Linked DNA regions of Mus musculus. The protein of the gene in region 3 interacts with the protein of the main gene of each other region in a biochemical or structural test. Links are inferred from orthologs where the notes say so. Each region holds a gene or a part of one and is shown on either strand. Other genes may lie near its edges.

Region 1 (8,029 bases), on a different chromosome or scaffold from region 3:
GTGACACAGTATGCTGACCCACACAGAAAGGTTGCCAACCCATTCTTTACGTCGTCCCACAAGACTTTTCAAAGAATCATTTTCAAAGTATATCTAAATGAACTGCTGATAACTCACACAGACTCTGGAGTCCTCTGGTACTAAGACACACAAAGATACAAAACTTCCAGCCTCTCATATAAATAGCATAACTATCAAGGCAAAGAATATTGATGTTACCATTCTCCATCAGAATCCCGCCATATTAGTAAATCACGTTAATCCTAAAAGGCTGTCTTTTAAATACACTTAAGCATGTCTTCACCCATGGAAGAAATGGGCCAAGTAGCAAAAGACCCCTATATTGCAGATATTCCAATCCCTATCTACTCACCCTAAAATAATTGTAGACCCACATCCTTGTTTAAAAATATCTATTCCAAGAGATTACTGCCAACTGGATGCTCTCTTAAGAAGCCAAAGAAAAACAATGAATTCAAACAAAGGATCATAATGATTACGTGTTTTTATTCACAATCTTTTATCCTTATCAAAGCCAATACCAAAAGCTAACCATAAAGATGCCTGAATAGTCTTTTTTGTTCGTTTTGTTGTTGTTGTTTTGTTTGTTTTTTTCAAGACCAGGTTTAGCTGTGTTGCTTTGGCTGTCCTGTAACTCACTCTGTAGACTAGGCTGGCCTTGAACTCAGAGCTACCTGGGTCAGATTAAAAGGCATGTGCCATCATTATCTAGCTTGGGTTTGTTTGTTTGTTTGTGTTGTTTAAATATTCCTAAATTGTAGGCTCTTTTTAAGTTTATACAAAAAAGTATCCCTAATACTTCTGTACCAACACAGGGATGTCCCCCCTAAACACACATTGTAGGGACACAAAGATGCACATTTCTGAAGTAAGAGAAACAGCCTTCCCTTTCATCAATGTTTAGCCCCACTTCATTAGTATTAAGACCAAGCTTAAGATTATAATAATGAGCCAGGCAGTGGTGGCGCACACCTTTAATCCCAGCACTCAGGAGGCAGAGGCAGGCGTATTTCTGAGTTCGAGGCCAGTCTGGTCTACAGAGTGAGTTCCAGGACAGCCAGGGCTACACAGAGAAACCCTGTCTCGGGGAAAAAAATTATAAAATGCAGGGAAACTGTAATGGCCTTCCATTTTATTTATAAGTTCCCTAACAAGGTCCTATGTTTTCTGAACTTATCTATCTCAGGATCTAAATGTGCTATTGAAAACCTTTAACTACTTCTAAAACAGAATCCCATGTCCTGGGACTGAATGGTCATTATGTTACAGACTGCTCCTCTTTCCAACTGTCATTCCCACTCACCTGCGAAGCTGATCTTCTGGGGACTGTCTCTCCTTTTGATAGCTGTGCTTATACCAACACAAATCTGCTTCAGGTCCCAAAATTTTAAATTCATTTTTCAGCTCTTAATTTCGTATCAGTAATCTCAGAAATATAAAGGCTTAAAAATGACTCCCATCTACCTACACTGTCAGCATATTACTCAAACTATTTTGCAGTCTTGAAAGCTGCACGGGGTAGGTCCTAAGGATGTAGCTCAGTTGGTAAAGTACCCGCCTAGCATGCACAAAGGCCTAGGTTCCATCCCCAGCACTACAAAACAAGAAATGGCAGCACACACTAGTACATTTAGCATTCAGGAAGTCCAAGCAGGGTGGTTACAAGTTAAAAGGTACACAACAAGTTCAAGGTCAGCCTGGCACAAGAGACAGAGACAAAAGAAGAGAAAGAAAGTGGAAAAAGTTTTAAAGAGAGAGGGAGGAAAAGAAAAACAATGAGCTAACACATGAACTGTACAGATACCTAGCTCTTAACCCCAAATTCAACATCCAAAGCAAAGCCTGCTACCCTGTTTCTGATTTACTCATAAGAAACTAGCATCATGCTAAAAAACATTCAAAACATTTCCTTTTTCGTGTCTCCTTCTGTGCTGCCCCCTAGATGACCATAATATAAAAATGTTAGTCTCCTAATGAAACAAAATCCTAAAGCCAGTATAATGTCTGTCCTAAAATATAATTTCTCCCAATATCCTGAAACTACCTTCTTTGGAACACTGTTTTCAAATTCTCTTATACAAGCACAAACTGACCTTAACTCTAGTCAGGAACTTCCCTCCCTCAGTAGGCATTCCTACCAAGCTAACTTCCTAATTAGATCTCATCTTTTACTTATTCTGACGCTAAGCCCTTAACATTTTGTTTGTGTATGTTCTTTTCTTCCTGAAAGAGCCTTTCCAAGATTTGGCTCAGACACTCCAATTATTCCTGGGTCATCCAAAATCAGTATTTCCCTAATAAAAATGTGCAACTGCATTCCCTGACACAGAGTGATCTTATGAGTAATAATGGTAATATATGTCCCCTTTCCTACATTTTTAAGAAATGTATTTCTTTTTACTGCTACTACACTACTACTACTACTACTACTACTACTACTACTACTACTGCTACTACTACTGCTACTACTACTGCTACTACTACTACAACTGTACTACCACCACATGTCCACACATACGACACAGGTCAGAGAACAACTCTGTATGGTTAGTTTCTCTGTCCACCTGTGGTTCTGGGCATTAGACAGACTCCACGTCCTTAGACTTGCAACAAGCAGCTTTACCCACAGAGCCTTCCCACCAGTTCAACCTTTCCTAAAGTTTTGTGCAATTTGTAGTTGGTTGTCTCTGTCACCCTCAAAAGACTGAAAATAGCAAATGTCTTGTTATTACTACATTCAGTAAAGTACTTCCATAATTTAAAACCAATTTACACACAAAGCAGGTCCTCTGATTAGATGCAGTACAAACTCAAAGTACCACTCTCCTCCTTTCCAAGAAGCAAACTATTAAAGTCTAAGTTTCTCAAATATCATCTTTTTCAAAACTGGAATATATGACTTTATCAGGGTAGCAAAGTAAGGTTAGCAGATCCAAAAACACGTTTTATTCTAAATCTAAAGTTAAATTTACCATTCAATATTTTCATACTAATTCCCACTTAAGCAAAATTTAAAGTGTCTCATGAAATCATATGAAGAACAAAGTATCTAACAAAAAAAAAAAAAAAAAAAAAAGGCTAGGAGATCCAAAAAGAGGGCAAAGTTATCCAAAGAAATGAGGGTTGGGGGAGGGAGCTACTCAAAAAAGCTGTGACGTGGCTGGCAGTCAGGGCACATACCTTTTAATCCCAGTCAGCACTCAGGAGGCAGAGGCAGGTGCATATCTGTGAACACTAGGCCAGCCTGATATACAGAGATAGTTCCAGGACAGCCAAGGTAACATAGAAAAACAGTCTTGAAGAAAAGAAAAGTTGGGACAGATGATAGTAGAGATTAAACAAAATCTATAAAAGCAAGGTAAGGTAAATTCACAGTGTTTTAGCATTCCTCAAACAAACTGTATCCTGAAAGATTGAGAAGGCTGGTCAAAGAGAAATACATTGCTATATAATGCAGAATGATAAACTTGGAGGTTCATTATTTAAAAAGAGGAGGGGAGAACAGGTCCCAAACATGAAATGTGAAAAACTTTCAAACAAATTTAATCATGACCCTCAATGGAGAAATTAAGATGGATGGATGGGTAGATAAATTGATACTCCCAAGTTTCTAGTCATTTCTACAGAGCATCTTTATTCTGCCCACATTTAGCTGTCTGGATAGACCAGAATTCCAGTCTTAAACTACTACCTATGTTCCTTGCTACATGAAATCCTACAGTACGTTAAGCCTTAGGATGGTCAGCTTAACCTACATATGTGAGCATTACTTTTCTATACCTCTAATTTAACACTCAGAGTGCTAAATGTTTTCCTAAAAGAGTATAAAGTCTCAAGGTCGACAAGTAGAGCCAAATAAAAACAGCTGCATGCATGCCCTTCCAGTCCCTAGTAGAAACCTAGTAAAAATGTGCTACCACTTAAAACATATTACTCCCTCTCTCCCTCAACACAGAGAGAGAGAGAGAGAGAGAGAGAGAGAGAGAGAGAGCGCTGCAGCAACTTTTACGAAATGGTAATTTATTAAGTGCTCTCCCTGAAATAAGTTTCAGTGGGTTGTGCATCTTAGGAACTCGGATTTTCCTGAGCCAACTGAAACATGCAAGCACCCTACACATCGGACTCTGTAGACCTGGGAAATAAAGCGTTGGGGGCACCAAACTCCCCTATGCACTAAAATGAAATCTGGTCTTCCCATCCAAGGCAACTTCAAAAACAATAGTTAGGAAAGGAAAAAAAAAAATTAAGGGTTGATTCAAGTGATTCCCACGTGGGAATCCATGGGAGTTTCCCTGAAACAAAAACCACTGCCAGAATAAGGTTGCCAGGAAAAGGCATGGGACAGAGCTGGCCATAGGCTTTCTCAGTTTAGTGTCCAAAAAGGTGCAAGTGTCCACTCTGGAGACACAGCTGCTCTAAGAAAAAACTCCGAGTACTTGCATTACTCCTGCAAACTGACACTTTCTCCTATTGGTAGAAAGGAAAGGTTTCCACTGCCAACCCTCCCGAGGAACAGCCGAACTCCAGCATCAAAGCACCCACCCGCTCCCACTTGTCACCTTATAATGTCCCCCTCCCCCGGGTCCACTCACGCTTCAGAGTCGAGCGGTGGCGCTGACAATGTGGCTGGCTCCCTTCCTCCTTCGGGCTGAGGCGGGCAGCTGCGGAAGGCTGGCTAGGCGCGGAACTGAGGAAGAAGCGGTGCTAGCGTCGCTCCACCAAGCAGCTACCCGGGTCTCTTCCGCGCTGCTGGGATAGAGGCGGCGGTGGCGGCCCCGCTCGCTCACCGCTTTTTCTCTTCCTGGGTCCCTGCAGACTGTGGTGGCTTCAGCCCGTCCTGGGCCACTTGTCCCGGGACAGTCACGATCAGAAAGCTCGAAGATTTTGTTTGGGTAAAGTTTCCTCTGGGCGGAGGCTGCAGCCGGCCCCCCAGGTTCCCCCCCGGCCCCACCGCCCTGGGGGGCTGGGGCGGGGAGGGGGCGCCGAGAACTCCTGGAGTCCCGCCGAGGAGCCGGGGTGCGGCGGCAGGCCCAAAGAGAAGCCCCCCCAGAGGGGGTGGAGGGGAGGGGAGGGGAAGGAGAGGACAGCGGCGCCGGGGCCGCTCACCACGCCGCCGCGGCCGTTTCACATCGGGGTCCCCGCCCCCCCGGCCCGGAGGTGGCTCCTGGGCTGGGGGCCGGGGTTCATACACTCCGCTATGGGATGCTACGGCCCCGGGCGGCTGGTGTGGACAGCGGCAAGGCTGGGGACCCGGCGGGCTCGGATCGGCGCCGCCCCCGCTCCCGGCTCCCGCATGTGTCGCGGCGGCCGGGACCCCCTCCCTACACCTCGGGGGGTCCTTCGTCCCACAGTCCGGGACGAGGCAGAAAGCCCAGCCCCTCGCGGGCGTCCTCTCCCGGCTGAGCAGCTACGAGTCCCGACCCGCGGCAGCCGCCTCCCTGCCCCCCGGCCGCGGGCTCCGGCTCGGGCTCGGGCTCGGGCTCCGGCTCCGGCTCCGGCTGGGGCTCCGGCTTCGGCGTGTGCAGCAGCCGCTGCCGGCCGGGAATGTAAGGGGGGGAGCCGACGGCGGCCGCGGCTCCCGATGGCCCGGGCTGCGGCAAAGGTCTTGGCGGCGGCCAGTGCACGGATGCCGGGTCTCTCGGATGCTCGCTCACTCACTCGCTCTCACGCTCTCCCCGGCGGCGGCGGCAGCGCCCGAAGCTCAGCTTCTGTCTCTCTCTCGCTCTGTGCGGGGCTCTCGCCTCACTCCACAGAGGGGCGGGAGGAGAGTGGCGCCCAGCGATGACGTAAGTCGCCTAGCAACCGCTCTCCTCCCCCTCCCTTCCCCTTCCTCTCTGCGCCTTCCTCTCCGGGCCTCTTCTCCCCATCTCCAGCCACCCCGCCCTGGGAGGCTGCGGCGCGTTCTGATGACGCACCAAGGGAAGAGGAAGTCGCGATCTGCGAGCGGGTGGGTGCGCCTCGGGCCGCGGGACTGCTGCTGCTGCTGCTGCTGCTGCTGCTACCGCCGCCGCTGCCGCCGCCGCCTCTACGGCCGCGTCAGAACTGAAGAGAGGAAGGGGAGGAGCCCAGGCGAGCCTAAGCTACCGCCTGATCTTACCCCTGACCCTAGGGCGGCGCGGAGAGGGAGCTCTGTCGCCGTTCCCTCCGGGGCAGGTGCGGACTGCTCCTCTGGGAATGAGGAGGCCCGGGATCGGGCTAGGGCGCGCAACACCCGAAGGTGAGGCTTTTGGCCCGGAGCAGATCCTGGAACCGAGAGACGGCTGGAAAAGTTAACCTACAGCCAGTGGCTGCACCTGCTCCCGGGAGCGAACGTCCCACCCTTCCCTTGGCGTGGGGTGAAACCTTGCGCCGCATTGTGTGTAGTAGTGCACTACGAAGGTTTGATGAGTGAATGAATGAATTAATGCCTCTAGCACAGCAATAGCGGGACTCAGAGGTGATAGTGGAAGCGCACGCGTTTTGTAAGTTGAAGCGTAGAAACAAGTTGTACTACATCTCCCTCCTCACCCCCACCCGCCCCCTGCCACGAAAGAAAAAGGATGCCGTTTCTTCAGAGTCGCAACTTCAGAGTTTTGTGGGAAAGGAGGCGAATTGGCAGGACTGGGGAACAGGGCTGAAAGAGAATCAACATCTAGGATATTATTTAGGGGATTTCTATGTTTTCAAGGGGCGAATGTAGTCGAGCCCCCTTTTAAAAGTAATTCTTGCTTGTTTGGATTTTTTGGAGCTTTTTAGATTTTGTCAACAGAGTGCCCCTTAACCATCTTCAAAAGAGTTTGGCGCCTCTCAGGTCTTTCTTCAAAGCGCTCTCGCGCGCTCTCTCTCTCTCTCTCTCTCTCTCTCTCTCTCTCTCTCGTGTGTGTGTGTGTGTGTGTGTGTGTGTGTGTGTGTGTGTGTTGTGGGGAGTATGTTATTAATAAATCTATTGGGCCGTTTGTCCTACAGATTCTGGGCTAGGAAATGTTTAAGGAAAAACTCATGAAATGTAAGCTGTGGTTCTCTAATAAAAGAATTTTCGAGATAAAAGAACTACAGCGCTCAGAAATCTGTTACGAACTTACTTGCCCTCCTTAGTGGTGTGACAGTGAGATTAAAGCAGCAGCAAAGATGAAGGGAAACAGTTGTGTGGCTGGACCCCGTCCCTCTGGAAGCTACAGCGATGGCTATCATAAGTGCTTCGGGTCTCTCCACCCTTCTTGGGAGATTGGACCAAACATGCTCTGTCCGCATTTAAGAAGCAAGCCCAGGTTTATGCCACGGCTGCTACCACTTCGTGCAAAGTAGATCAAGAAAATGCCTATGTTGATAAATCAAGGGTTCATTTTTGTTCAAAGGCTACAAAAACAAGAGTGAGTGAAGGGAAGAGGAGGATGCCACAAAAGCAAGGAGAGACAAGTTGCACCAGGTCCTTCTGAAATCCCAGGAGTCATATAACTTGCCCTAAGTACCCTGGGTTTGACTGTCTACAGACAAGATCCATTCACAGGCTGTATTCAATAAGATTCACAGGGAATCAGATCAATTAATAAACAGTAGGCCAGCATGGCTCCAACCTAATCCTTTTGTTGAACTCTCTTCCTTACAGTAGGAAGTAAAGAAATAAAATACAGGTGTATAGGGGTTTGGGAAGCTGAGCACCTCAGAGTCAGAGCTGTGCAGCCAAGGATGCTTTCGGAGGAGTGCACCATGCAGAGTGTCAGATCATCGCTGAGGGTCAGAGTGGCACTCACAAGAGCCCTGAGCAGCCTGCTCAGGAATTAAACTTACTGAGTAAGGTCATTCACGTCCCTGTCCTGCCTGGTAACAGGAGCAAGCAGCTGTTCTACAACTGGCTGCTGGAGAGGACAAAATTCCTACCTCTCCAGTTTGTTCTATATCCTTTCAGATCCTTGTGTTGTCTGTGAATCTAGAGGAGAGATATATCCGTTTAATCATATTTCTGAAAAGTAAGTCAGAAAAACTTATTTCAGGTAACCCAGTTCTTCTCCTGACTCACCAGTTTATCACC
Region 2 (7,996 bases), on a different chromosome or scaffold from region 3:
AGTATAGAGGTCCAAGAACAACTTGCAGGAATCAGTTCTCTCCTTCCATGTAGAGATATTTTAATCCAGCAACACAGCTGTTTGGGCAAGTGATCATATCCAAAGAGACTTTCTAGGTCTATACAATTTGGCCTGACTGCAGACATGCCTTTAGTACATACCTTTAATAGCTTACAGTGAAGGTCAGGTCAGTCGGTAGAAGGAAGCAGCCATGTCTGAAAGTGACATTTAATTGAGGGGCAGGTAAAGTGACAAATCAGAGAAAGATTTGACAGAATGAGCCAGAGATAGGCTATGCTCAACTCACATGAGAACAGCAGAAGAAAGGCTACTTAGAAGCAGCACAGAGTGAGCCAGGAAGGGAGGACAGCTCCGTGAGTGCGGTTCAGTTGAATTCAGGCAACACAGTGTTCAGTTTCGTTGAGTTCATGTACTCAGTGCAGTTCAGTTCAAATCAGAGGCAGTTTTTCCAAGCAAAACAATTCCATGAGAAGCCAAGAGAAGCCAGTTTGAATTTGTCAGCTTGGAGAGGAGTTTTGAGCCAGAACAGCTGAGTTGAACCAGCCAGCCAGAATTTGGAAAGAACTAGAAAGGGTAAGCTTATTCAGTGGTAAGCCTTCAAGATGACAGTTACATCTGACAAATAAAAGTGACTTTTACACTTCCACTGTGTAGGTCCTAGAGATCAAACTCAGGTTGTCCAGCTTGGTGGTGAGTGCCTTAACCCAATCAGACAACTGCTCAATAACCTTTTTGCAACACACACACATTCATATTCATTCATATTCTCTCTCTCTCTCTCTCTCTCTCTCTCTCTCTCTCTCTCTCTCTCTCTCTCTCTCTATCTCTCTCTCTGTTCTTTTGAGACAGGGTTTCTCTGTGTAGCCCTGGCTGTCTTGTAAATCACTCTGTAGACCAGGCTGGCCTCCAACTCACAGAGATAAACCTGCCTCTGCCTCCCAATTGCTGGGATTAAAGCTGTGCACCACTACAGCCTGGCCTTCTTGAAATTTGAAGAATTAATAATAATAAACCCAGTCAATGATCACCAACGGCTGATGTTACCCCAAAATGATAACAAACTATTTTGTATGTTCAGGTAACAGTCCACCTTACCAGTGAAGGTAAGTGTGTGTGTTTGTGTGTGTGTGTGTGTGTGTGTGTGTGTGTGTGTGTGTGTGTTTGTGTTTCAGGGGGAGATAAAAGCTAAAAGATAAACCCTCTAAAATAAACAATTAAAACAAAACTTGTTAATAAGCAAGGTGAGTTTTTGGCATTTTCACTTCAGTAAGGGATTCAGGAACTACACGAGAGAAATATGGTCTACTGAGCACCCCATACTCTCAGATGAAACACCTAGAAAGTACATCCTGGGAACAGGAGGAAACCACAAGTAGAGAGCCCTGCCCAAGTGATACCCCACGTTTGTTTGCTTGTTTGGTTTTATGAGACAGGAAGTTGCCAAGGATGACCTTCAAGTCCTACCCTCCCTGCCTCTATTTCACAGATGCTGGGATCACAAGCTTGTGCCAACTATCTCTGCCCAGGCTTACTTTATTAAATTAAAATCTGTCAAAAATATAAGGAAAAAAATGAACAGGCAAAATATCTCAAAACAGTGACATGAACTTTTTGAACAAGATATTAGCATACAGAATTTAGCTATGCCTTCAAAACTCCTTAGTCATGATAAGCATTTATCAAATTGAGATTCCAAGAATGTACAGTTAGTTGATTTCTAGAATATAAAGTAGTGGTACTCACCTGTAGTATATGACTATAAAATATGAACACTTGGGAAGCAGAGGCAGGAAGGTCCTCTGTGAGAGCAGTAAGTGCTTATAACCTTTGAAACATCTCAAGCTCCAAATTCTGGTTTGCCTGTTTTTCTGGTTTTCTGATTTTTGTATTATATTTTTGTTTGTTTTATGTGCCTTCGAGAGCAGAAGTCCCATGATGCTATGTCTGCTCAACTCTTTAATGGTTTCTCATCTCATCTAAATATAAAAGTCAAAATCCTTAAGATGGAATTGGGCTTGCTAGTAGAGGTTATCCTGATCTATGTAGCAAGACTCTGTATCTCCCAACTTCCACCCCCAAAATGTTCTAGGCAAATAATTTTTCAGTGTTTAAGGACGGTAATGAGATCATTTGTAGGAACAATACTTCTAGCTAGTAGGCAAGGGCCCAAGAATGAATATATGACACATCTAATATTGGGCACTTGTAATATAGAAAAAGCTTACTCAGAGTATCTTTTACTGACTCTAATTCTATTTTAAATATGCACACATGCAGTGACTTTCACACAAATATAACTAAGTCAATCAAGAGAAGACTGTTAAAAAAAAAAAGATTAAAAAAAAGGGGGGAGGGGCTGGAGAGATGGCTCAGCGGTTAAGAGCACTAACTGCTCTTCCAGAGGTCCTGAGTTCAAATCCCAGCAACAGTGTACTCATATAAATATAATAAATAAATCTAAAAAAAAAGAGAGAAGACTGTACATGCTAGATACAAATTTTAGCAAAATTTACTTCTTCATATACATAATTGAATATAAATAGTAATTTAGAATTTATAAAGAGTATTGTATCAAAAAATGCAGCTAGTAGGTGTGATATTATTTGAAAGTACTGAACTACTGAATCTACCTTCTACCTACCTGCTTTCATGGCTCCCTGCTCCTCTGGTTCTATACAAGGTGGTTTTCTCTGTGCCCCTTACTATGCCAGGTGCCTCTTGCTGAAGAGCCACTCCACTGTTGCTCCCTTGGCTACATTCTGTTTCCTTCAATACCTGAAATGCTTATTTTCTGAATTTCTTTGGGTGTTTTCTGAAATGACATTTTGCCCCCTAATGAGGACTTCCATAACCAAAATATTTTAAACCGTATCAACCCCATTTATTTCTTTCATCCACAATTCCTTTCTGGTATAGCAGATATTGTTTTCTCACACTCTCGCATACACTACCATGAACAACACTAGGTAGAGATCCTGTCTGTGCTGCTCACTGCACTCCTGGTTCCTAGAACAATACTTGGTAGACAGCAGACATTCAGCAATTATCTGTCAAACATATCAATGAATCAATAATATCAAAGAGAAGAAACTGTAGGATATTCCTTAGATTGGCATTAAATTTAATGCCTAATTAATAATGAAAACTTTTAGAACAAGCTCAATATATAGGAGATATAATTACTATTTATAGAAGAGAATGTAAACATTAGTGAAGAAAACATATGTGAAGAAAATGAAATAAAACGTGAAACATGTAAAGAAAATGAAGTAAAAATATCTGATATAAATTTGAAAATAAGTGAAAGTATTTCTTTTTTTTATGATGGAACATCAAGATAATCATCTAGCATTGATGGAACAAGAAATTATAAGTACAGAAGACAAGAGCAGAACTAATGGTGGGAAGAGTTTAAAAGTGAAGACAAGAAGAAGCAAACAGGGCTGGAGAGCTGGCTCAGCAGTTAAGAGCACTGACTGTTCTTCCGAAGGTCCTGAGTTCAAATCTCAGCAACCACATGGTGGCTCACAACCATCTGTAATGACATCTGACCCCCTCTACTAGTGTGTCTGAAGACAGCTACAGTGTGCTTACATATAAATAATAAATATTCAGAAAAAAATAGAAGAAGCAGCAAACAAGCCAGTTAGCCCTGAATGGGAGTGGGGAGGAGAGGCGCTTCTTTTGACTTTTCTTTTGTTGGAGAGTGCTGGAAATAAACCCCTACCTCACTGAAAATGATTTAATTCTTGGTAACTGAGGATCTGTAGACGTCTCAGGACTTATGTTCTCATTAGAAGTGTTCTTACTTGGCCAGACCTGAGAGTGGAGGCTTCTGGGAAACCTCACTTACTCAGGAGCTGAGGAAGGACGATCACAAGTTCAAAGCCTACCTAAGGGCTACAGAGTAAGTTCAAGGACAGCCTAGATAACTTAGTGAGATCCCTTCTCAAGGAAGTAAAAAGAAGGCAGGGATGTAGCCCAGTGGTAGTGGGCTTGCCAAGCACACTCAAGGCCCATAGTGAGCTCCTAGGAGTCCCACCAACCCACACACAAACTGTTCTCACTTATACTTGTTCCAGATTATGTAGCACACAGCCTTATTTAAATAACTTAAACACAAAAAGAAAAATCACTAACTGCACAATGTATTTTTTTCTTATTTAATTCCATCACTGAAGCAGAATACGATTTTGGAAGGCTCCTTCACTAGCGTGAGTCATAGGATTACATATTCTATGGGCTATCAGTTTTTTGTTTGGTTTGCTTTTATGTTTTTGTTTATTTCCCCACAGAGAACCACAAAGATATGTGTTATAGTCTCCCCTCCCCCAGCCTGAAACCTGCTTGCTCAGGGGTGGAGCTTCCCGCTCAATCTTTCTGCCACGCCTACTGCTGGAACCTGCCGCTTTGCTGTTCTGAAGGCATCACGTGATCACCCTGCTACTGGATTATTTGGCGGGAATTGGGCCCCTCCCCCTTCCTTTATAACTGAGTGCCGAAATAGTAAAAATTGAACCTTGAGCAGAGAGCTTTGTCTGGGTTCCTTCCTTATCTCCCGAAGCCCAGCCCCTCTTCTCTTCCAGGTTTCCAAAATGCCTTTCCAGGCTAGAACCCAGGTTGTGATCTACTGGCCAGACACAACAATGTGTGTTTTACCTTAACTGGGAAGCTACACTTTCCAGTGCGGACTCCTTCTTCATCTGTCTGCCACTGATGTGGACGGCTGGCCTCTGGGACATAAACGTCTTTCTTTCTCCTGAAGCTTTGCCGTAGTTTGTTCATGTTAACTTTTACAACCTGAAGACACAGTGAAGAAATACCAAAGTTACTTCTTACACAAACTTCAGATGACCATTTTAGTACAAAACCCACCCCAAACCCTGAGGGCCCACACGAGGGTTATAGCTTAGTATGTTAGCATACTTCCTCTCGGAGTGACAGTGAGTCTAAAACTGCTCTCAGTCCGCTTTTTAAAGACAACTACAGTCCCCTCCAATGACAACTGCCCCAACAAGGGCGGCGTTTAACTTCTCACCTGCTTGATACCTCTCAAATGCCGGGATTACAGCCATGCCCTACTGTGCCTCAGTTTGGTGCTAAGGACTGAACTAATATTTTGTGCCTGCCAGGCACACATTTTGCCAACTGAGTTAGTTACATGCCCAACTCCCCATTCTTTCTTCCTGTGGCCTTATCTACCAATGTTACCTCTTTAATATCTAATTCACTCCATGCCCTTTGTCCCATGATTCATTCATTCTCAGACTCTTCCCCACCCCCTTCATTTGTAGCTATCTTTATTACTACTGGTAGACAAAAGAAAGATTCAAGTCTTCCTGATTTGATGGATATTAGGTAAGAGCCAGGAGAGCTCATGGTGCTTGGGTGAACAGTCACTCTTTTTCTAGTCTGTAGGGCAAGCGATTAAAACTACAGCCCCGCACATCCCAGGCAGGCAAGCACTCTGTGTCTTGGAGCCTTTCCTGTCACTTTTCTCTCTTCCTCTCTGCTCACTCCTCATGGAACCTGGTGGGGATGGAACCCAAAGGCAAAGCCACCTCCCCCAAATCCCTGATTTTTCTTTGTGGTACCTTTGCTTAATTACTGTCTCAAACTAAAACATGTCTTTGTTTACATTACCTACCTATTCCCAGTGAGGTAAAGTCTGCAAGGACAGGATACTGTCCTGTTCCCTGTTTATGCCTGCCTTCCTGGAACTGATCAGTAGAGGAGTTGCTCACATATACTTACTGAATGAATGCTGTTCAACCAACACTCACGATTAATAAACCATGCATGCCTGAGGTTTGGGTCACAATCTAGCTTATGTAGTAACTGGGGCACCCTGTAAGCTTTACAATGAGACAGACCTGAGTGAATGCTGTGCTGCCAGAGATGGTGATGTGACTGATGCAAGTAAACGGAAAGTTCTAATCCTTAGTTTATATGTCTGTCAGATATGGTAGTAACTGTTAATTCTCAGGGTCACTGTGAGGGTCAGAAATAATGTTACCTAAAGCAGCTAATGTTTCAAAAGGGAACTCTTGTTGCTGGGACTGGCCTTGAACTCTTGATCCTCTTTTCTAAGCCTCTCAGGTAGACAGGCCTGTATGTGGCCAGTGTTCAAATCAACTATTTTGAGACTTTTTTGTTTAACTTATTGCAAAAGGCCATTACTTAGACTGCTTCAAATAAAGGCCCATTTCATTCTAATCTGGTCTGACTACTGTTTTCTAAAACATCAATCTGACTGTACAACTACTCTACTTTAAAATCCTCTAATTGGCTCATATCACCTTCAAAGTGTAAATGCTCAGCATGGCAAACACAGTCTTTTTTTTTAAATTTATTTATTTATTATATGTCAGTACACTGTAGCTGTCTTAGACACTCCAGAAGAGGCATCCAATCTTGTTACGGATGGTTGTGAGCCACCATGTGCTTGCTGGGATTTGAACTCAGGACCTTTGGAAGAGCAGCCGGTGCTCTTAACCCCTGAGCCATCTCACCAGCCCCAGCAAACACAGTCTTATGCGGTCTCTTACCAGCCCCCATTCACATGTTAAGTTCCAGCTCCATTAATCTACTTACAGTCCCCTACAGGCAGGCTGTTTTCAGTGCCTCTCTCTACATGGAAAGAAACTATTTCAGTTTGCCTCCTGTAAAAGTCTACTCATGTTCAGTGCAAGCTCAAGAGACGCCAGCATTTAACAAAACACTCACTGTTGTTGTTCTGAGAAGTCTTTACTTGACCTCGGTCCTTCTACTTTCACGTGGTTCCATTTAAGTGTTTTGCTGACTTTTATTACTGTACATTAGAAACTGGCACATTTTCTAGTTCCTTAATAGTGAGCTGTATCCTACTTGTTTAAACAGCACCCATCCCTGAATTCTAATGTGGTGCCTGTCTGTCCTTGTATGACATACTGTAATTTTGAAGAAACAAACAACCAACCCCCCATAACGCTGAGACTACTTTGTAGGTAGAAGACACTACGAAATGATCAGAGCTGGAAAAGACTAGAGATGTCAAAGCCCACTGACAAAGGAGGATTACCCCACTGTCTAGACTAGGGTACTGGCAGACTCTATTCACTCTCTGGCACAGATGTATTATTGTAGCATTTTTGGTTGCTAAATAACACGGTGAAAATATCCAAAAAATTGGTGTTAATATCTTACCACTTTTAGTACTCAAATGGTTTGCCATCAGCATTTCTGCCACGATTCCTGACTTATGCTTTAAGTAACCACAGGACTGCAGTGGAAAGGCCTAGCAGCCATTGCTTGTTTAGGGGGGAAAGTTAATGAGTCTGAAGGATTGGACACAACTCTTAGGAAAGGCTTCAGGTTCCCGTCACATATTCATAGAACTATTTTATCAGATTTCCATGTAAGAAGTTTAAGGAAAAGGTTTTCCAACTAGGGCGATTTAAATAGTAATGACAAAACAGTCCTAAAATAAATTTGCAAGGTAAAAGTATGTAATTATGTTATCTTGTTTGTTACCTCTTAATAACTATTACTGGCCTAAGGACAAAGGTCCTAGTTGAACATAGGCGATAAATATATTTTTAAGTATAAGAATTGAGATAGCTAGGTGTAGTAACACACACCTTTAATTCCAGCATTGGGAGACAGAGGCAGGTAAATCTCTGTGAGTTTGAGCTCAGCCTGGTCTACATAGTGACTTCCAGGACAGTAAGGGCTATACAGAGAAAGCCTGTCATGAAAAATTTAGGAAAAGAGAATTATTTTGTTCTATAAGCTAATTCTTTTTAAAGTTCCATTATACTACAATTTGCAAAGATAATACATATGCATGTGTGTGTGTGTGTTTGCACACATAGTCACACCTGCATTTATCAACATGTGAATGCCTGAGGTCATCAGGCTTGGTGGCAAGTGATCCTACACTGTCCCCAGAAAACCTTTTTTTGTTTTGTTTTGTTTTTTCGAGACAGGGTTTTTC
Region 3 (7,385 bases):
AAGCAGTGAAGAGGTGGCCCAACCCACTGTAGAGCGCTTGATTGGGTGCTTGCGCAGCTCTTCCTCGTGGCCATAGTACGGGAAGATCATCTGCTGGCCTTGCGCATCACGCTTGAAGACCACGTTGGTGTGCAGCACGTGGCTGAGCTCCCGCAGAAAGTGGAAGGAGTTGTTCCGTAGCTGGTCGGGTGGAAGCAGCACCACCAGCACCAGGGTGCCGGCTGCCAGCCGCTCGGGTACATGCTCAGCACAGTCTAGGCCATCCCACTCACATTCGGCACTGTTACAGCCCTGGTCGCAGTGGCCATCACTGAAGTGGTCCTTGCAGTACTGGTCATACAGGGGGCTGAGGAGGTATAGGATGCACTCAGTCCCATCCCAGCCTGTGGACCTCAAACCCATACCTTGAATAGGCCAGATCTGGGAAATGTGCTTGGCGACTCGCAATGGGCAGGGATAGACATTGGCTTCAGGAGCCTGGTGTTTGGTTAGGTCCTCCCGTAGCATCCTGAGCCCTGGGACTCTAAAGAAACTCAGCCTTACTTACTTGCACTGTCCCTCGGTGAGCTGGCAGTCGAAGCCATCAAAGAGGCAGCCGGCCGAGTTGCACTGGCTGTCACAGTGGCCGTCGCTAAAATACTTCCAGCACTGTAGAGACTGCGTGCAGTTCTTCCAGGGGTCATTGAAGTTGAGGGAGCAGTCGCCACCATCCCAGCCACATGCGTGATTATTACACTGCAGGTTGCAGACCTTATTGCCTGCATCCACCTGGCACTCAGGCAGCTCACAGGCCTCCTCAATCTGCGGTGGGGGAATGTCGCGCCCAGCGCCACCTGTGAAGCTGTAGTCCAGGATGTGGCACAGTAGCCCGTTGAATTTGGCAGGGCATAGACAGCGGTAGAAAGGGTTCTCGGATGTGGGCTCACAGGTGCCCTGATTGTAGCAGGGGTTGCTACCCACACAGGGGCTGCTGGCTGGGAACTGGCACTCAGGGCCGGTGAAGGATCCCAGGCATAGGCAGGTGGGACTACGTGGGCCCGAGATGCATGTACCACCGTTGAGGCAGCGTAAGCTGCCACAAGTGCGGGCATCATTCTCACATGTGGCACCCTCGAAGCCCTGTGGTGGAGAGAGGATGGTGCATTCAATCAGGGACACCATGCACACCCCAGCAAAGACCTGGCCCCAGTCTGTGGCCTGTGAAAGGTGTCTATGGCCTTGCCCCAATAACAAGACCCTTGAAACATCTCACCATAGGATGGTCAGGGTTGCCAAGGGCTTCAAACTGGAGGGATAGGTGAATGGGGAGAACCCTAGGAGTTTTTAGAGCCATGAAACCCAAGGCTGATGCTGGTACATTGTATGTGTACAGATCCCTGGATGTCAACACCCAAGAGCAAATACTGCATATTAGTGCCAGCTCAACACCTTCCACGCAAGGCAGCAAACATAGGGAACGGCCTGCAGGGTGGGGACCTGGCCCTCTTGCTAAGTTCTCATGCAAACCTAAAACCGCTCTAAAATAAACATCTATTTAAAAAATTGGGCTAAGACACAGTGGCAAAACACTTGCCCAGCATGTGTGAGGTTCCCAACATAGCACAGCAGGAAATAAACTTTTTAAACAGGGTCTTGTTGTGAAGCCTAAGGTACCTCAAATACAAGGCAATCTTTCAGCCTGAGGCTGCAGAGCACTGGGAGCAAGGCATGTATGGATCGTGCCCGCTCGGGTTTTATAAACGAGCTGGGGAATGGACACGAGGAAGCATGTGGCTTGGACCCTAGCCTCTGCTAGAGGTCTTCAGGCTGACTATTCACAGTGAGGGTGGGTGGAGGACAGATCCACCATAAGAGTCGGTCAGGGTTCAGGCACCCTCAGACCTGGCACCCTTGCAGCCGCACAGGGCCAGGGACACCTACCGCAGGGCACCTACAGATGAATCCACGGGCGGTGTTGGAGGCCACGGCACAGACACCCCCATTCTTGCAAGGTTTGCCCCTGCAGCCATTGATGACTGACTCACAGCGGCGTCCTGTGTGAAGAAGGGACAGTAAGGAGCCATCCCTGTTGACCCTGCCCACCCACCCGTTCGACCCACCTGCCCAAGGCACGCACCAGTGTGGCCAGCCCGGCACTCGCAGTGGAAGTCATTAACACGCTGCACACAGTTCTGGGTGCCACGTGGGTCACAGGGGTTGGAGAGACATTCATTGACATCACCCTCACACCGCTCCCCGACGAAGCCTGGTGGGCAGGTGCAGGTATAGCCACCCACCTGGTCCACACAGGTGCCATTGTTGAAGCACTTGGGGCTTCGGGAGGCAGGGTCAAGGGGGGGATGGCAGTCATCAACATTGATCTCACAGTGTACACCTGCAGAGTGACCAGAGACACCGTCGGATGATGCTGACTGTGCTCTGTCCTGTGCAGCCCAGTCCAGAAATCAGTTAGGACCTGGGGCCCGGGGGAGGCAGCACAGTGCCACTGGAGCCCACCTCCCTTCTGAGATTCCTATTCCGTGGTCAGCTCTCAATCACCTGAGTGATCTCTGGCTGGATCCTGCCCATCATCCAGGTCCCTACCCTTACCCTGTGTCCCCCGGGGGCAGGAACACTTGTAGGAGTTGGTCAGATCAATGCAGGTACCCCCATTCTGGCAGGGCTGGGACAGGCACTCGTTGATCTCCTCGGAGCAGTTAGACCCATGGTAGCCAGCCACACACTGTAGAAATGGCACAGGTCACAGCTTAGCTGGGGTTGTGGTATCATGTCCTCCACTTGCCATGCAGGCCATATACCCAGTTAGACTACACTGTCCCACCCTGCAGCGAGGGCTCCACCCAGTAGACCCCAGTAAGTTAAAATAAGTGTCCAAGGTGTGTGTGTGTGGGGCAACACCTGGTCCCCCAGGGATGAGGTCTTGGAGCAGGTATTAGGTACCATGAAACCATATAGGAAAGGGGTGCCCTAAGCCACTGCTTGGCATAGTTCTCCTCCTTCAGCACATCTGTAATGTGACCGGATCCTGCACAGGTATGTGCTCAGTCTGCCATGATGCACTAGCTCCCAGTCAAAAGCCCTCCCCTGCAGCAACACTCACGCTGATACCCTCCCCGCCACCCCATGACGGCCCACACCTTGCAGGAAAAGCCGCCGAGATAGTCAGTGCAGGTAGCTCCATTCTGGCAGGGGTTAGGTGAGCACTCGTCCACCTCGTCCTCACAGTAGCTGCCCGTGTAGCCTGCCTGGCAGTGGCAGTAATGTTTATCTCCCTCATCCACACAGAGCCCTCCATGCTGGCACAGGAGAGTGACGTCAATGCCTGTGGGGACAAGACGGGAAGGAGCTGAGGCCTGGGCTGAGCTCTCGGGACTACTGCCCATTGTCACCTGACCTGGCAGGCACCGGGGCACTCCTGGCCTAAGCTGAGCCTGAGCAAGGACAGGTGGGCCCGGCCGGTTGGTTACCTCGCTTCTGTGCAGCCACCTCACAGGACACACTGAGCACGTCGCAGTTGACGCCAGTCCAGCCGCTGCGGCACTCACAGTGGTACTGCGTGTTGGTCTGCCAGCACCTGCCACCATTCTTGCAGGGAGCCGAGTCGCACCAGCGCACAAGGTTCTGAGGAGACAGGCGCTGGTTAGCTTCTCCCTGACCAACTCTGACTGCTAGGGCACCCTCCTGCCCTGGTCCTGGCTGGCTCTGAGAAGCACAGCAGTTCTCAGCCTTCCTAATGCTGCAGTCTTTTAATATAGTTCCTCGTGTTGTGGTGACCTCCAACCATAAAATTATTTCATTGCTTCTTCATAACTGTAATTTTGCTACTGTCATGTAGCAAAAATATGCAGGATATCTGATATATGACCCCTATTGGGGTCATGACCCACAGGCTGAGCGCCACTGGAATAAGGCATTTTATGCTCTGACTTCCCCACCCCCACCCCCACCATCTCAGAAAGAATATCACCTAAGAAATCCCAGGCACAGGACTCACAAACACTGCCCGCCCTCCGAACAACATAGGCCTGGGCTCCACGTCTTCCTTGCTCTCTTTCAAGGCTCTCCACAACCCACTGGCTACCTCCCCTTGGACATCCTCCACCAGAAGTGAGCACTGCCCCAGGCTGCTTCAGACAGATGGCCACATAATGCACTCCACAGAAGAGCCTGGCTGGCACCCATGCCCACCTGTCTCCCTCAGAAGCACCCAACTTGGCATTTTCCCAGAGGATGTGGGTTCATTCTGGCTCATCAACCAATGATGACACCAGGGAGCCTCTCTGCTTCTGTGTCCCTGGCCCTCTGAAGGTAGTGTGGCCCAGGGCTGGGCAATGGGCACTGGAGAGCCCTAGGCCTTCTGGGTCATACCCTGTAACCTCAGCTCACCTGGCAGTTGAGACCAGTGTAGCCCTGTGGGCAGGTACACTTATAAGTACCATAGCTGTCTTGGCAGGTACCACCGTGCAGACAGGGCCGTGAATCACACTCATTGACATCATACTGACAGTAGCTGCCCGTGAAGCCAGGTGGACACAGACAGGTGAAGGAGTTGATACCATCCACACAGGTACCACCATTGAAGCAGGAGCTAGAGGCAGATGAGAAGCAGGGAAGAGTGAGGAGTTCCCTAAGGTCCTTGCCAGGAGAGACAACTCCATGCCTACCTGGCCACAATACCCAAATCACGAGCAGAGATTTTATAGCATATAGACACGTGGTGGTTGAGAAAAACAAAATCAAGGGCAAAATAGGAACACTATAGGAAGCGCATCACAAACCAGGCTTGAGATTGATTTAACTCTAAGCTTCCTGGCAACCAGGGCAAAAGGGGAACTAAGACAGATTACAAAGCTCTTGTTTGATAGGAGGCTAGTTCCCCAATTCCTCTGCACAAACTTCCTTGTTCTAAGTCACTGGAGGTCACAAAGGCCCCTTTAGGAGGGATACTGCAACATAATGAACAACGCTGGATTCAGTTCAATTAGTGCTGTATGCCCACTGGGTCTGGGCAAGACACCAGCTTGAGATGCCATGCTGTCAAGACTTTGTGTCTTCCACAGTCCATTTCTTTCCCTGTCTCAGCTGAGGCTGGGACCCACCTCTCAGTACAGTCAGGTGTGTTGTTCTCGCAGTGGATGCCATTGAAGCCCACGGGGCAGGTACATGTGTAGCTGTCCACACAGTCAGTGCAATTGGCACCATTTTGGCAGGGATTGCTGGCACATTCATTGATGTCCTCCTCACAGAAGGCACCCTGGAAGCCGGGCAGGCAGTCGCAGAAGGCTGTGTTGATGCCATCGGTGCAGGAACCCCCATTGTGACACGGGTCTGGAGGGACAGAAAGATGAGCCTTAGGTGGCCACTGGCCATGCTTCGGGGACCTGATGCTGAGAAGGTGGTATGGGGTGGCAAGTGCTCACAGCAAGCCTTGATGACAGTAGTCAACAGGGGCCCATCCCAGCACTGAGCCTGGAATCTGCTCCGCATACACTTTTTCCCTCAGGCCCAAGGCAGTCATAGGGAAGCCCATTCCCCTACACACACACTGATGGTGCCAGGCAGAACCTCCCTCAATCTCTCTCTGCCTTTAGCTTTGACTCAGGATGCAGGGCATCTCTAAAGCCCTACACAACTCAATGGGTCCTGACAAGGGCCGAGTGTCAAGGTTGAATACAACTAGGCCCCATGCCATCATTTTGAAGTGCCTGGTGCCTCTGCTCCATATCACTCAATTGGGCTGGGAAATCTAGCAGCAAAGCCCGTGAGAAGCACACACTGATGCTCAACAGCCTCCTCCTGGCCTGTCTAGCCTCTGGCCTGTCTCTTTTTAAGGCACAGGCAAGTGGACTAAGCTGAGGGCACAGCTATCCACAGTCCTTCATGACTGCCGGGCACCAGGGCTATTTTCCACCTCAGACTCTCAGCAGCTCCCTGTCATGTGTGCTTAGGAACAGAGGCACCGAAACATAGGATGGACAGAGCTGGGTACCACTTACTGGGGCGGCAGTCATCGATGTCACTCTCACAGTTGCGACCTGTATAGCCGGCCTGGCAGAGGCAGCGGTAGCTGCCATTGGTGTTCTGGCAGGAGGCCCCATGGCGACATGGGCTTTTCACACACTCATTGATGTCAACCTCGCAGGTTTGACCTGTGAAGACAAAAACTCATTTGGTTACCTGCCCCCACCCTCTGAGCCTCTGTCCTAGCTGGTCTGTTTATCTCCAGTGCTTCTCCCCTGACCTCTGGGCAACAGAAGGATATGGAGTTGGAATGGGAAGGACCATCTCCTGCTCCCAGAGCTTCCCAGAGCTTCCCAGAGCAGGTAGCTCAGCATTGATGGGCTCCTTTCTCGAGACTGCCCCACAGGCTGGCCAGGGCCCCTGACTTCCCATCCACCATCCTTGTCCCAGCCTGGTGGGACCAGGCAAGCCTCACCTTGCCAGCCTGTGGGACAGACACAGGAAAAACTCTCATAGTCTTCAGACTCCTTGCATACCCCGCTGTTTTTGCAGGGGCTGGTAGCACATGGGGCCAACACCACCTCACACGTGGCTCCTAGAAAGAAAGATTTGTAGAAGATAGAACCCAGTGAGCCTGGCCCATAGGGTCTTCCATAAAGGGGGGCGGGGGGTAGGTATAGGAGATGCTGTATGATTGGCCAGCCAGACTCTGATCCCGGGAGGAATGACGATTACTGACAGGAGGTTAGAGATAAAGCAGAATCAAGTTTCTCTCTTAAGTCACTTTTTTTTTTTTTTTTTAACGAGCATAGTATATTGCATGCAGGTGTGTAAGAGTGTATGCAGAAGGAGAGACGGATATCAGGTGTCCTCTACCAACCCCGCATCTTATTCCTTTGAGACAGAGTCTCACTGAATCAGACGCTTTGCCATCTTAGCTAGGCTGGCCAGCCAGAGAGCTCTCAAGATGTCTCTGCTCCCAAATGTTGGGGTTATGGGCATTTAGAGGTACCCTGTTTTCATGAAACAGGCTTCATGTTTCCACAAGCACTCTTTCTCCATGAGCCATCTATGTAGTCCCGGAAGCCATCTCTCATCTCCCAAATGCTCCACGATGAAGCCTGGGCCTTGCCCAACCAGAAAACCTCAAAACAAGACCCTACTATAACAGGTGGTTGAGCCTGGAGGAACCTGGCCTGCTCCCCATTCCAGGAAAATCCTTGAGCTGATTCTGAAGCTTTAGGTCACAGCAGGCTCACTCCTGAGACAGAGCTACTGTGGCTACCCCAAGCATATCCTACTTGGGGAACATGGGGTGCAGCCTCACACTAGGGCAGTGAAATCTGATAACCGCTTGGGGGAGCCACGAGTAACCCAGGTGACTCTCCTTGCAATCCCAGTTAGCTTTCCTGTTTATGGCCATG

What was found. The genes of interacting proteins can lie anywhere in the genome.
Region 1: the proteins of Notch1 (region 3) and Fbxw7 form a complex in vitro, tested with the Homo sapiens proteins (2 studies listed by BioGRID and IntAct, with this or other methods). The link is inferred for Mus musculus from reciprocal best matches to the Homo sapiens genes NOTCH1 and FBXW7.
Region 2: the proteins of Notch1 (region 3) and Numb form a complex in vitro, tested with the Homo sapiens proteins (2 studies listed by BioGRID). The link is inferred for Mus musculus from reciprocal best matches to the Homo sapiens genes NOTCH1 and NUMB.

Annotation. Positions count from the first base shown.
Region 1 is NC_000069.6:84,812,354-84,820,382, reverse strand, and holds the start of Fbxw7 (F-box/WD repeat-containing protein 7), read right to left. Parts: upstream 4,807-8,029; 5' UTR 4,614-4,806; intron 1-4,613. UniProt on the Homo sapiens protein: Substrate recognition component of a SCF (SKP1-CUL1-F-box protein) E3 ubiquitin-protein ligase complex which mediates the ubiquitination and subsequent proteasomal degradation of target proteins.
Region 2 is NC_000078.6:83,837,538-83,845,533, forward strand, and holds the start of Numb (protein numb homolog), read right to left. Parts: upstream 4,807-7,996; coding exon 4,681-4,806; intron 4,387-4,680; exon of another isoform or gene 4,317-4,386; intron 1-4,316. UniProt on the Homo sapiens protein: Regulates clathrin-mediated receptor endocytosis. Plays a role in the process of neurogenesis.
Region 3 is NC_000068.7:26,467,685-26,475,069, forward strand, and holds part of Notch1 (neurogenic locus notch homolog protein 1 precursor), read right to left. Parts: intron 6,557-7,385; coding exon 6,437-6,556; intron 6,150-6,436; coding exon 5,997-6,149; intron 5,329-5,996; coding exon 5,100-5,328; intron 4,589-5,099; coding exon 4,387-4,588; intron 3,622-4,386; coding exon 3,468-3,621; intron 3,323-3,467; coding exon 3,138-3,322; intron 2,723-3,137; coding exon 2,590-2,722; intron 2,436-2,589; exon of another isoform or gene 2,375-2,435; coding exon 2,117-2,374; intron 2,034-2,116; coding exon 1,921-2,033; intron 1,120-1,920; coding exon 548-1,119; intron 347-547; coding exon 1-346. UniProt on the Homo sapiens protein: Functions as a receptor for membrane-bound ligands Jagged-1 (JAG1), Jagged-2 (JAG2) and Delta-1 (DLL1) to regulate cell-fate determination.